Drosophila melanogaster: one gene and its partners. The protein of the gene in region 2 interacts with the protein of the main gene of each other region in a pairwise test. Each region holds a gene or a part of one and is shown on either strand. Other genes may lie near its edges.

Evidence for each region. Proteins that work in one complex are often made in the same cells at the same time.
Region 1: the proteins of CG17776 (region 2) and Debcl interact in a two-hybrid assay, tested with the Drosophila melanogaster proteins (one large-scale study listed by BioGRID).
Region 3: the proteins of CG17776 (region 2) and whd interact in a two-hybrid assay, tested with the Drosophila melanogaster proteins (one large-scale study listed by BioGRID).

What each region holds. Positions count from the first base shown.
Region 1 is NT_033778.4:6,646,711-6,653,378, forward strand, and holds Debcl (death executioner Bcl-2), read left to right. Parts: upstream 1-1,943; 5' UTR 1,944-2,568; coding exon 2,569-2,868; intron 2,869-5,278; coding exon 5,279-5,422; intron 5,423-5,477; coding exon 5,478-5,936; 3' UTR 5,937-6,132; downstream 6,133-6,668. Other genes in the region: Opbp (Optix-binding protein), read left to right, coding at 6,605-6,611, 6,663-6,668.
Region 2 is NC_004354.4:2,182,888-2,185,785, forward strand, and holds CG17776 (uncharacterized protein), read left to right. Parts: upstream 1-1,837; 5' UTR 1,838-2,077; coding exon 2,078-2,290; 3' UTR 2,291-2,371; downstream 2,372-2,898. Other genes in the region: Nmd3 (Nonsense-mediated mRNA 3), read right to left, coding at 26-662, 723-1,651.
Region 3 is NT_033778.4:10,475,532-10,480,513, reverse strand, and holds the start of whd (withered), read left to right. Parts: upstream 1-1,946; 5' UTR 1,947-2,154; intron 2,155-2,208; exon of another isoform or gene 2,209-2,471; intron 2,472-4,982. Other genes in the region: Pef (peflin), read right to left, coding at 1-191, 251-259; trsn (translin), read left to right, coding at 476-550, 604-691, 758-854, 917-1,032, 1,089-1,420.

The DNA of each region.
Region 1 (6,668 bases), on a different chromosome or scaffold from region 2:
TGGCAAGCAAAAGTTGGCCTGTTTATTTTTTATCTCATTTTTAAAACTTCTGATAACAAGAACACCTGTTAATGACTCAAACAAATTTCTTTTAAGCCTTGAGGTCCTATCCAAGGAATCTTTTGGGTCCCAACCGGAATGTGCGTTTATTGATCCGAAACCAAAGTCCTCCACGGGTAATATCGCCTCCAAAAGGAGCGACCGATGCTTGCATCGCTGATCTCAGATCTTAGATCGAAGAATACGGACAATAATCGTTTAGAGATAAAAGATCCAAAATTTGCGAACATCACATTTATAAGTTTGTAGTTCGCTCCCCCACAGTCTTGATATTGGCGGCAAGATGTTCTCTCGAAAAGCTTATTCCAGAGCTTTTCGTTTCGATAAAAGTTGGACTGCAGATCTGAAAGAAAGTATAATATGTAAATATCTTGAGAAGTTAATAAAATGGGTGATAAAGTAATACGACATTGGTAATTATCAAAATAGTCGGTATTCGGATTTGGAACCGGCGGAACGATGCTTCTTAGATTGATCTGATTCAATAGTTCGGTTAGATTCATTTAAAAAATCTTACATAAGCTTAAAAAACGAGAACGACACCTTTATCGTCCTAGTCCGATACACTGCAAAAATTCGCGTATCAGCGTTATTTTTATCAAAAAAATTATCTTTTTGTTACGAACGCGTAAGCAATTCAAGGTGGGATTAATCCTAAATGTGGGGATAGTTCAGCAAACTAACATTATAAAGAATATTTAATTACACACGTTACTCATCATAAAAAAGGATAACTAACCGAGTCGGTCTGGCCATGTCAATCTGGCAAGCAGATTCTACACACGACTGTGGAAGATTGTTTGAGAACGTTGCTATGCAATCGCTAATGCACAAAACTGTTACAACTACATTTTTGAAACAAGTCGGTATTTTTTCCATTTTATTGAATTATTTAGTTTATTGATCCAACGAAACGAAAGTCCTCCTCGAGTAATATCACCTCCAAAAGGGGCGACCGATGCCTGCATCTCTTATCTGAGATCATAGATCGAAGCCTACGGACATTTATCGTTTAGTGATAAAATATTTAAGTTTTTGAACATCACATTTAGCAGTTTGGAGATCGCTCCCTTACAGTTTTGAAATTGGCGGCAATAGCTTTCTGGTTCCATAACAGTTTTAGATCCGAAAGTAAGTATAATATATCTTGAGAAGTTAATCAAATGGTTGTCAGAGTAATACATCGTTGGTGAAAAAAATTTGGTTTCCATTTTACAATTATATCAAAGCAATCGGTATTCGGTTTCGAGAGCGAAGCCGTTATTTCGAAACCGTTACCGCGAACCGGTTCCCAGCGAGCCGCGGCTCGCCAGTCGCGAAAACACAACGAATGCACAATCTAGAGGTGGAGAAATATTGATGTTGGCGGGCATCAAAGCTTCCAATGTTTTTGGCGAAAAACATCGATGTTTAAAATAAAAACAACAAAATTTACCTGCTTAATTTAATGATTATTTTTTAATATTGCTTAAATAAAAAGGCAGTACTTTAAGAAAAGAAAAACAAACTTATTGTCGTCTCCGTTTTCATCAGCCGCTGGTCCAATAGTTGCTCCTATAAAACAAATTAATACAATTAAATGGAAAAGTAAACCAGTATGCATACGAGCAACTGCAAGTGCACAAATCGGGAGTTCAAAACTAACATTTCAGATATTAATCCATGTGCTATGTTATGCTTTTAATAATTGCATTAGAAAATATGGAAAATTAATTTGTACTTACAATTCATACACTTTTCTTCTCCGATGCGCAGTAGAGATGGAAAAACATCGATGTTTTCTCGAAAAACATCGATGTTTATGATTTTTCAAAAACATCGATGTTTCTCCACCTCTACAACGAACGCACAATCACAAGCGCCGCTCGCGAGAACGAGAACGGGAACTCGAAAGAACCTAGATCGCTGATCGGAGAACCGTGGAACCCGTGGAACCGTAACCGTGAAAGTGGGGAATCGAAGATAGAACGGAGAGGGTGGTAGGCCGATTCCCTCTCCCCACTGCCCGTTGAAATTCAGAATACTAAGCTCTCGGTTAAACGCGGCGAAAAAGAAAGCAAGCTCTGAGCGGCTGAAAAAAAAATGAAGTGAAATAAAACTGGGATCGCGGCACCAGCAACAAGTTTTAGTGGCTCTTCTTTGTGCGTTTCGTTCGTGTTTGCTGCCCTGCGCTTTGCTCGCCACATTCGTCGCCGACTTTTATTTTGTTTTGCCCATTTTATCAGAATCGGAGCACCTCCAAAAAAGCCCAAGACGAGCTGAGCCTCAGCTGCGTCGAGGTGAGCTGATCCACTCCGCTCCCCTTTCGTGCGCTGCCCACCGCTCCCCACCGCTCACACCCGATCCCATCCAATCCAATCCGATCCGCTCCGCTCCGAGTGCATAGTGCATGCAAAGTCGCGGGGCTGGGCTTTCGGAATTACACAACCCACATGGGGCAGCGCCAACAAAGGCCTCAGCAGCAACAATAGCGGGCAGCCAAGCATTGCCCTGCCCTCGACTTCGACCATGGCTCCCACCACCAGTCCGCCACCCAAGCTGGCCAAGTTCAAGTCCTCGTCGCTGGACCACGAGATCTACACGGCCAATCGCCGCGGCACCATTGCCACGGCCTCCAGCGACTGGAAGGCGCTCCGCGGAGGCGTCGGTGGAGGAGCAGGAGGACCCGGTAGCGTACCCAATCCCTCTAACGGACGCTCCCTTCACGCCGGCGGACCCATGACACGGGCCGCCTCCACATCCTCGCTGGCTAGCAGTACGCGCACGATGACTAACTACCAGGAGTACAAAATGGATATCATCAACCAGGTGAGGACCAGAAATGGGTGACCAGTGGCTCCGTCCTTTGCTATGGACAATTTGGGAATTATTTAGTTGAAGTCTTGAGAGTATGCTGGGACTGTTGCCTTATAAAGTAAGCGTCTGATTCAGCATATGTTCAAAAAAATTTACGAGTGTTACTCAGCCAATGGAATTGCAAGGAAGTTAAATAGGGAGATATTCACCAGCAAAGTGAGTGTTTCAGCAAGGAACTATTGAATGCCTTGGATTAGCTTTAATCTTTTGCAGAATTCTAGAATTCCGATGGGTATTCTTAAATATAAGACCAATTCGTACACATAGAGGCAGCTATGTATGTATGTATGTGGTCCAGACCAAGCAGATGTCTTCCTTATAGGCCAGAATTCTCTAAAATTATACAATTACAGTCATTTCGGTTGGAAAATTAGAAAAACTAAGCCAAGATAATACAAATTAAATTTGCAAGTGGTTTTAAAAGCATTATGAACTTTAGCGGTCAAGGCTTTGTTACAAATAATTTATATTCTTTTGACAAGTTTTCAGGGCTCATATGCATTGTTTTAATGTTGAAATTTACAATAGATACTTCTTCGATAAATAAGACTTCTTATAGTTCATAGCAATGCGCCTGGTGATATAAAAGTTTAATCAACACAAATACTTAAATTTCTTAAGAGGTTGAGGACATGTGCTTTACTTTAAGGTGTAATTATTTTAAACATGACTCGGTTTCAACCCACATTTAAATATATAGTTTTGCGTTAAAATAGTTAAAAACCTTGATAATAGTTATATATATTAGTTGTTATAGTTATTCTATTCCAGCCTTATGTTGCCACTCAATGTTTTTTTTTTAAATTATTTTAAGTAATATCTAACGTTATCAACATAGAATGAGTCAGAAAATAAACTGGTCATGCATCGGAACATGTGCACATAATTAAAACCGATTTTTGAGACATACATATAAATACAACAGTTTGGTGATTAAATATTCAGCAAGTACGCAAAATGAGAAACACAACACAAAACTAAAAGAAAAAGCTGTTCAAACAAATTGCCTAATTTCGTGGACAAATTTCGAAATTGCCAAAATGAAACGGAACAGACAACTGCAAACAGATTCCAATTTAATGTGCAGAACTGTTTGCGGTATCAACTAATTTTCGATGGCTCTGATCGAGGACGATCCATCCGAATCTCTGCTATCCACCATTTGGGTCTTGACTGTCTCAACTTAATTGATAAGGCAAATATTTTTGTTTCCACCATTCGTTTATCTGAGACTGATAAAACTATTTACTCCGCTCCTCCAGGTGAGCGACATGTAAAGTGTTTATTAAATATATTTGCCTATGTGGTTGCTTTCGCCGGGCTGATAACTTCTTGAGGAATTTATCATTAAGCGCATTGCGGAAGTTTTCTCAGAATGCAGTCCTCTAAAGTAAACGCCATTTTCTCTGACAAATCAGATGGAATGGGCCATAACCAGGCTGCATAGAGGTTTTCAAGGAAAATAATAGCAACTAAAGAAAAGGGAAGAACCGCGAAAGCGCCACGGGTGGAACCATTATAAACAAGTATTCCAAAAATAAACCGACCACTAACTATACAACCCGAAAGCCTCAGGTGATGAATTCATCGAACTCTGGCCATTCAAGTAAATCTTATGGTATTTGGTCGCACCAAACCCGCCAAAAGGAAAGAGTTGGGCGCACAAGTGTTCGCCATAACAAGATCACGTAAACAAATTGACGGATTTATTAATATTTCGCTGGGAGGCTGGACGGGTTCGGAGTAGCTTCGATAGACTTTTCAAGACACTAGCTTCAAGGCCGGTGATTTGGCATGGGCTTGATTTCTTTGGCTGGCCATGTCATAAGTCAAGTTGGCTCCAAAGTGAGTAATTGTCTGTTTACTTGGCTGCGGAATCGTTGGCGTGACGAACGGTAATTGTGCGACATAAATTGTCGAAGGAAACTTGCAACTAAATGGGTCGGAATTGAACGCAACATGGTGGGGAATGCCTTAATTACGCCAAACGTTTCGCGTCTTTCAGATTCCATAAGTAAATTTTTAGTTGTCTTAATGCCTTTCCACAGCACGTGCTGATCGCTTCTTTTGTTTAAGTCGTTGTTCAAAGTTTATTACCGCCATGTGCACCTGCCATCAGTTTGGCTGCATGTTTAGATACTCTGTAAGAGGTGTGATTGAAATAGCCCAGGTGTCTACGGAATCCTGTAAACGGATTCAGAGCGACGTAAATAGAACATATGCATGTTCGCCGGAAAACTCGAGGCAGTCGATTGATATTGTTTAAGTGGCCCGCTGATGGAGCGAAATTGCCTGGCAATGATCAAAGCACTGTAGTTAATTTGATTGTGATTGAACTTTTGGCTTTGTCGTTCTATTCCAGGGGAAATGTCTGTGTGGTCAGTACATCAGAGCGCGGCTGCGACGGGCAGGAGTCCTCAACCGGAAGGTGACACAGCGTTTGCGCAACATCCTGGACCCCGGCTCCTCGCACGTGGTCTATGAAGTTTTCCCGGCACTGAACAGCGTGAGTGTACTGCCATTCGCCATTGAATCTTTTCATAACATGGTATAATCCACAGATGGGCGAGGAACTGGAGCGGATGCACCCGCGGGTGTACACAAACATATCGCGACAGCTGTCGAGGGCCCCGTTTGGCGAGCTGGAGGACAGCGACATGGCGCCCATGTTGCTCAACCTAGTTGCCAAGGATCTTTTTCGCTCCAGCATCACCTGGGGCAAGATAATCTCGATATTTGCCGTATGCGGCGGCTTTGCCATAGACTGCGTGCGCCAGGGACATTTCGACTACCTACAGTGCCTGATTGACGGTCTGGCTGAGATCATAGAGGACGACCTGGTCTACTGGCTGATCGACAACGGCGGATGGTTGGGCCTGTCGCGGCACATCCGACCCCGGGTCGGCGAATTTACGTTCTTGGGATGGTTGACGCTGTTCGTGACTATCTCTGCAGGCGCATATATGGTCTCAAACGTGTGTCGGCGCATTGGAGGTCAACTGTATTCGCTGCTGTTCTAGATTCGCTTGGGATCGCGTCGTTAAGAAATACAATCGTACCATTTAGTCAATGAGAGCTTCAAATCATTCCTGCTTCCATGGGCACCAGTCGTTTAGTAGTATGTAACGGACCCTGTTTTACGTATAATATTGTTATTCCCTTTCTCCTCTTTTTGTACATACAAGGCTATTCTAGGCGCAATAAAGCGTGTGTTGTAAACTTTTTTTTCGAATTTGGCGCGAAGTCTGGGTGTTATGCACGGAACTGCATTACTTTATGTCCGTGTTTAGCAACACTGGAAACGCCGTGGAGGTGCCAATATTTTGAGTACGACAATTCGTCTTTAAAATGTTATAGTGCCCAATCTTTGACTGTTGAACAGTGTATCTGTTACCAGAAATTAAAGACGAATCGACTAACATAATCTCTCAGTTAAACAAAAAATATAAAAGTTAACTTTGCTGACAAAAGTTTTTATAATTTTGTAATTACTGGTTCAATGTTCTAGTCTTTAAAATAAATGTTATTAACATTTTAAATTTTGATTGTTAGCCTTGCCACCCAGCTAAAACGCAAATACTTACCCAGCCCTGTGGCAACGCTTCGATTTCCAAAAACCATTTGTTATTATTGCTGTGGATCTGCCCATTATTATTTGTTGTAAATAAAGATTGGAGCAAATTATGCCATGTCATGTAAGTGCACTGATTCCGTGGGTATGAACGTCGAGTAACATGCACTTGCAGCGTCCA
Region 2 (2,898 bases):
GCGTTATGATTAATAAAAAAAAGGACTACAACTGTGGCTCGGTATCGTCAGCACCTCCCTCCTCGCCCATTTCGTCGTCTGCACACTCTAATGTCATATCTTCCAACATCTCCTCCAGTGTGATCTGGGGCACATCACCTCCAGCGGCCTGTACCTCGATTGGTATCGTCTTGTTAGTGTCCCGATAGATGTTGACCTGACCGCGGATATCCTCGTTTTCCTCGAGATCGTCAAGAAACTCGTGGTAGTCGTACTTGCTGCGCTCATCGGTAGCCTCCGCCGCCAGATGCTTAATCTTCCACACGCGCTGACTGAGTCTGGTCTGTCGATCGTAGTGCTTGCGCACAAGAATTACATCCGGAATTTCATCCGACGACAATTTGTCGAACTCCAGATCGTTGATGTTGGCCTCTCCGGTGTTGTAGCCCATTACGGAATCGCCCACCTTGAGCAGGTGGCCCAAGTGGGAGCGTGTGTGAATGGGGTTATCGTTGATGCCCAGCTCCGAGGCGCGCACCACCCAAATGTCGCAGAGAGCGTGCTTGAAGGAAACCTGCCCTTGACCAGGATAGGTCTTTCGATCCTTTTCCATGATCACATCAATGTCCATGACGACGTACTCAACCAGCTGCTTGGGATTGCAGACGGCCTCAAAGGGAGCTCTGAAAAAAGCAATTTAATTGGCTTACTCGAAGATAACCTTTGTCAAATAGGAGTCCCACCTGAAATAGACCTGCGAGGTGAGTTCTGCAATCTGTGCGGTCAGGGGATCAATCAAGTGAATGCTGCTAGACACCCGGTTGACCAGAACCAATGGCGAGAGATTTCCCAGCTGGTGGCGCAGCTTTTTGGACAGGCAAACTGCACTGTCCTTCGATACTGGTGCTATTTCCACTGACCAGTTGTACTTGTAGTTATAGTTGTTGCTGTGGATGTCGTGAGAGATGAGACGCTTCGAGGTTGTTACCTTGCCGGGCACCATGGTCAGGAGGAAATCAACCATGCGCCGGGCATGATTATCATTGGCATAGAAGAAATCCAGGCCGCCATGCTCCGGCTTTATGCCCAGAGTGTTCTCGTGGGCTTTGTGCTTAAGGATCAGCTGTTCCAGATAGTAAAAGGTTTTCTTGTTCTCGGCCCGCTGACGAACCTGCACGAGGCAGCGCCAGAAGTCCTTGGCCTCGGTCCGATGGCAGTCGTTGCACATCTGGTTCTGCACAGTGAACTCCACCACGAATACCTGCTGGAGCATCGTTCCCCCGATGATCTCCCCATGCACAGTCAGCTTCACCTTTATGCGCTTGGAGTGCTGTTCTGTCCAGATGAAGCCGGCATCCACCAACTTCACTTCCTTCAGGCCTTTTAGCTTCTTAAGGCAAATGGCCAAGAGTTCGCGGGACTCCAAGGCGGCCTGTATCCACTCGTTCGGCGGTTGCAGATAGCGCTCGCAATTACGACAGAAGTGGAGCACGGCCTGCTTTGGGATGTTCTCCGTGATGTCGACATGGTTGCGCAGGCAGGTGACGCACATGTTGGCCGGATTCGGCTGGATGGCCACTCCGCACTCGCAGCACAGGATGACGGCGTTCGATCCGGCGCCCTTGCCGTCCGCTGCGCCCAGCGGGCTAACCCCAACGTATTCGTGATCCATGAATCCTCCGGAGGTCTATTCGGTCCAGCTATTTCACAATGGCGTTGTAGAATACGATGAAATATTCCCACGAAGTACACAAATTTGTAAACACGTGCGTATAGGTGTATATCGATTGGCCAGAGATCAGCGATATTATTAATCGGCGATTTAAGTTAAGCCTTTTCCAGCTAGAGTAGCTAAAAGTGAGATTAACGATAAAACGACGTTAAACGAGTGAGACTCAAAGCTAAATGGGACATTTGGAACGATTTCCTAAAATTCACTTAAAAATATAGTACTCATTCGACTGTCTTCATCTTTATTTTGGCTAGTAAATGTACGCCCAATTATCGATACATTCGCCGCCGTCATCACTGACAGACCAGCTGAGGCGACGGACTCGACTGCCGGAAACTTTTATGGACTTGGAAGGGATTTGCCGCCATGCAGAAGAAGCCGATTAACACCAACACGCTGCTGGACAAGCTGCACCGCGGCGCGGTGTATGCCTGCATTGGAGTCACCCTGTACGGCACCTACATCCTGGGAATGCGCTACTACCACTACTGCACGGTCATCCGACCGGAGAAGCAGCAGGCGGAGCTGAAGCTCCTGGACGAGGGAGCCCACGACAAGGCCAAGGAACTGAAGTACTAGGCGCGCCCTCCTCCGCCCCTTTAATTGTTAAATGTCTGTTAAGCGCAATAAACTGTAAGGAAATGTAAGCATTTTCAGCTGAAAACGGCCAACGCCGGTTGTTGTTGTGTAACCTCGGACAGCTGGCCAAAGTGGAGGACCGTCGGCAGGCCCGGTGGGATTGTAAGATTCCAGATTCAAGATCTAACCCTGGAACCAAGCCAACAATGCGCAATTAGCCGTCTGGGCCGTAAATCAAACTGGTCGGCTACAATGGGAAATCAATCAATCGACAGCGACATGGACATCGACCCGTTCGGCGGACTAGACTTAGTCAAGAATTATAATTTAGCTGGCAATCAAATATGTTGTCATCTCCGGATCGTGACCAGGTCCCAGTCCATAGACCAAACCCCTTGGCTGCTTGGTCTTCCGCTTGCCCAACGCGTCTCGCGTGCATTCACCTCCAATGGGCAGAGCATAAATATTAAACGATGTGGATACGAAAACAACCGCGGGGAGAAGGAGACAATGGCGGTGCCACCCACTTTTGGCCAGAGATGGCGAGACGTCGTCGATTGGGAAAATCTTTTGCATGCTTCATTCAACAATGTTGCCTCCGGCGTTGC
Region 3 (4,982 bases), on a different chromosome or scaffold from region 2:
AAGTGATCGCCACGCCCATTCACCAGGGCCGCCTGCAACTCGGAAGCGTTTATCTTTCCAGATCGGTCGCGGTCCACCATGGAGAACCATTGCTGTGCCTGCGGAGACACCTGGGCATTCTGCGGCGGAAATGCTCCTGGCGGCGGGGCATAGCCACCACCGGGCTGGGCATACGGGTTATAGCCTTGTCCCTGTGGATAAACGGTAGTAAGTACATTTAATCCACTTTCTTAAGCATAAACACACTCACATAAGACATTTTGTCACGAGCCTAGTTCGATTCTAATTGGAACTTGAGGGACAAAACAATTTTAATGAAACTACAGATGACAAGAAGGGCGTTCACCAACACTGGTTTGGGCAAGCGATAACAATGTGACATATCGATAGCATTGCTAGACTTATTGCTTGGCTATACTCCCATCCCTATCGCCGGTATAAACAACTAACAAAAGCAGCAAAACATTAAGCAAAAATGTCGAACTTCGTGAACTTGGACATCTTCTCCAACTACCAAAAGTACATAGACAATGAACAGGAAGTCAGGGAGGTGAGTTGACGGTTAATATCCTAAAAACCACCATCTTAAACCATTGTTTTTAGAACATCCGCATTGTGGTGCGCGAAATCGAGCATTTGTCAAAGGAAGCGCAGATTAAACTGCAGATTATTCATAGCGATTTGAGCCAGAGTAAGTTCTGTACAATTTGGTAGCTTGTATGTTTTGTTCTAATATGACATTATACTTGAACAATAGTTAGTGCCGCCTGCGGCTTAGCCCGCAAACAGGTTGAGCTGTGTGCCCAAAAGTACCAGAAATTGGCCGAACTGGTGCCAGCTGGGCAGTACTACAGGTGAGTCAGATGGTGAAATCCGTGGTGTCTATTGTGGGTGTCGAATGCTCCGCCTTCTCCAGATACTCCGATCACTGGACCTTCATTACGCAGCGTTTGATCTTCATCATTGCCTTGGTTATTTACCTGGAGGCGGGCTTCTTGGTCACCCGCGAAACAGTGGCCGAAATGCTGGGATGTAAGCTAGATTTGGAAGGCTCTCTGGATACGAAATAATAGTTAATTACTCCACAGTGAAGATCAGCCAGTCTGAGGGCTTCCATCTGGATGTGGAGGACTATCTACTGGGCATACTGCAGTTGGCGTCGGAGCTCTCCCGATTCGCTACCAATTCCGTCACCATGGGCGACTACGAGCGTCCCCTGAATATCTCCCATTTTATTGGTGACCTGAACACGGGCTTCCGTCTGCTGAACCTGAAGAACGATGGCTTGCGAAAGCGCTTCGATGCCTTAAAGTATGATGTCAAGAAGATCGAGGAGGTCGTCTACGATGTCAGCATACGCGGTCTGTCCAGCAAGGAAAAGGACCAGCAGGAGGAGCCGGCTGTTCCTGCAACCGAATAGTTTACTTCGTACGTAGGATAAGGCGTTTATTAAAATGAAAAAGTTTCATTTAAACAAGCAAATATATTACATTCATTAAACAGAGTATCATTTTATTTTACTATTTAAATCAGGAATGCTCGTAGGAATCAAATGTAGCAGGATATATGTATGTAATCCTGTGTTAAAAATCTGAAATGTGTTTTTGTTTTTTTTCAGAACACATTTCTTTACATCTTAATAGGCACCATCTTATTTTAATGATCAGTTTACACAGAAGCGAAATAGTGCTTTGAACCATAACAAAAAAACATAAGTTTGTGCAACTTAAAGGTAATTAAAATGGCTGTGCGCGTTTTGATTAAATCATAACTAAGTATACATAGAGACAAGTGCAGAAGTTTGATGGCTTAACCCTTTTGAAACTTGTTTAGCCACCACCACTGGGCCGCAGTTGTTGTTGTTGCCCCGATCATATGGTGGATTTGTTGCTGCTCTTCTTTGGCCGCTGCTTCCGTTTCGCCTTTGCTTCTGCTTCTCAGGCGCAGTTTCAGTCTCTCTTTTGCCACCGCAACGCTTACAACGTTAACATTGCGCGCGCGTCTTTGCATTTTCTTGTTTGCTGCTTCGTCGTCCGTCGTCCTTCCCGTGTTGTTCTTATTGTTTTTTCCCGCTTTGTGCGCTCTTTATTGTTTCGCCCTTTCTAGCATTTTGATTTGAAAGTGGAGACTGCAATTGGTTACCATTTCAAGAAAGTAAGTCTGGCGGGCAGTTGGCCGTGTGAAAAGTCCGTTGGCCCAGAAACTCACCCGCTCTCTTGACCACGCCCCCTTTTCCGTCCCCGGCCCGAAAAAAAAGCTAAAAACTGAGAGACTCCAACCTGTTTGGCAATAATTGGGTCACAAATCTGGTAAAAACTTGTTGCCCGAAATGGTCACTAAACAAATAGCACTGTTTTTATTACAAAACTTTAGTTGAGTCTGCAGTTGCCTTGTTGTTGTTTGTTTGTTTTAATTTTTTTATTTCGTTCCGCAGACATAGTTGTTGTTTGGTGTTTTTCAAAACACGCTTTAATCGAAGCGGTTCAAAGTCCGAAACAAGTTTCCTGAGAGGCTTAACGGGGCACGCTCTCTCCTTGTTGCTCTTTCCCCTCTTCTTACAACGCACTGAGTGGGAGGAGAGCGAGAAATACTGAGAGAGCTTTCGACGTAAACATCTGAAAAGCAAAACCACAACAGACACCCACACACTGACGGGCAGGTGTTGCTCTCTGCGTCTCTCTTTCTTCCTACCCCCATTCCAACTTTCTTGCATTCTCATTTCGAAGGGAAAATGCCAAGGAAAAGCCCAGCCGCAAACCAACAACAAAAAGTCAATATAATAAACCCAGAATCCGAGTGCTAACTGTTATGGAAAGTAGCGAAACCATTAGCTATGGACCTCCTTCATTGAGTGTTTTGCTTGCATACCCGGCAATTAAAGACTTGCAGGGTATGTGTATTTTCAATACATCAAAAAACAAAAAATAATATATAGAATATATTTTAGTATCGAAAAAGATTTAAAAAAAATTGAAAAATTTTAAAATACGCCCTAATATTAGTTGTATTCCTCAAAGTCATATTTTTTTGAGTATCGTCTACTGTAAGTATTCAATTAGTAGTGGGTATGTCTTGAGACAAAATCATTTTAGTAAGTTTGCTTGTTTATTTCGCATGGTAATTACACGTTTATAGAACTATTAACCTGCATTGAATATGGTTGTCAAATAAAAATATTAGGTATACCTTGTTATGACCGCTTTTAACGACCACACTCAACCAATAGTGTGTTACGTTTTTAAGTGTCGCAGTACTTCAGAAATGTTCACAGCACTTTTAGTTCAATAACTCATGTGAATCCATGTAATAGTGGATATCTTGTAGTCGAGTATCTCAAAGATACCCCGCTCGCTTTATCAATTTTCGTTGCGCTGGCCGCGGCAGCTGTGAATGATTTGCAAGGGGTCCCAGCGCAACTGGTTCCCAGCGCCTTTGTGCTGCCCCTCGGAACCCGACCCTCCAGAGCCACCAATACCTCGATCGTACCGCTCTCGTTAGACATGCGTGGCTGGCTGCCTCTGTCGTTCGCAGTCGCCGCACATTTCAAGTTTGCTACGGTTCAAAGTCCAAACCCAAGATACAAATACCAGCACCAGCAGCACCATTTCGTTTTCATCGCAGTGGTTATTTTAAATCGAAATTCTCCAATCTGGGCACACTTTCGATGGGGGGGGGGGGGGGGTTACGAAGATCCCGGTCGTGCGATAAGCAGACGACATTTATGCCAGGTAGACACTTCCAACGCGTCACCGATTGCACTAGGTTATTCTGACAGCAATCACCTCTTATCGGAACCGCGTGCTCGAGCAATCCTTATCAGACCACCGAAATTGCGTACCACTGGAGTTCTCACAGGCCCCCCGCCACTGCGATTATTGGACTTTCAACAATAAATAGTGAGCGATAGGTTTTATCGCCTCCCTCAATTGTTGCTTATCCCCGCCACCTCATTGGCCCGTTTTCGGTTATAGAATCAGATCGTACATATGTACATACATATATTTAAGACTTGTTTTTCAGCTGGTTTATCAAGTAAGCTGGCTAACCATAGTGATGTAACAGCGATAAGAACAGGTGTGGAGAGCCCATCTTCAGATCTCAAGTTGCTTACCTAAACCGCATGCCGATAAAGTGCCATCTGCGCAGAGGTCAGAGTCCACTTGCCGAATTTTAAAGCCTAATCTTTATGATATGAACTCTGATATTACCAAATCGCGCCGTCTGCAATCTCGAATATGAGTTATTTATGTTTTGTTTTTTTTTTTATAGCACAGCGAAAGATATATGGGATAAGCACCAAATACAATCTTATTTTATCATGCCCTTTAGACTTGAAAGGAATCTTATCAACTTACAGCTGTGTATGTAGATTTAAAATACTAAGTGAAATCTAAGTGAATTGTTACCCCTGTTTATTGTCATTATGTATTGAGCGAGGCAAACTAGAATGCTAAGTATATTATAGTATATGTGTTCATAGGCTCTCCACCTTAGTTTTGACAAGAAATATAAACGACTTTACATAATTGTAATATATATCTTTCGAATCTTGATAAGCCGACTGATAGGCGACCTAGATTCTTAGAAATTTGTCTAGCCACGTCGAAAAAGTTGAATTTTAAAAAACGCATTATCGAGGCTAACTGCGCATACCCCTCAAACGATGAGTACACCCATCTTATATACACACTTGTAGGTGTTTATTGGACCCAATCACATATCCATTTCGCCACAAGATAAGGCCCAATCGATCTGAAGAGAGCGAATTCCCGGAATATCGCCGGTCAATACACTCCACACGGGCACACACCCCCCACCACACACTCCACTTTTCGACGAGCCTCTCGACTGGTGACGCATCCATACCAATACCATACTATACCATACTATATCATACAATACCAAACTCTACCATACAATGTACCATACCAAAAGCACAATCGACTGTGGGCTATACTCGTAGTATCTCCGTCTCGGCGCTC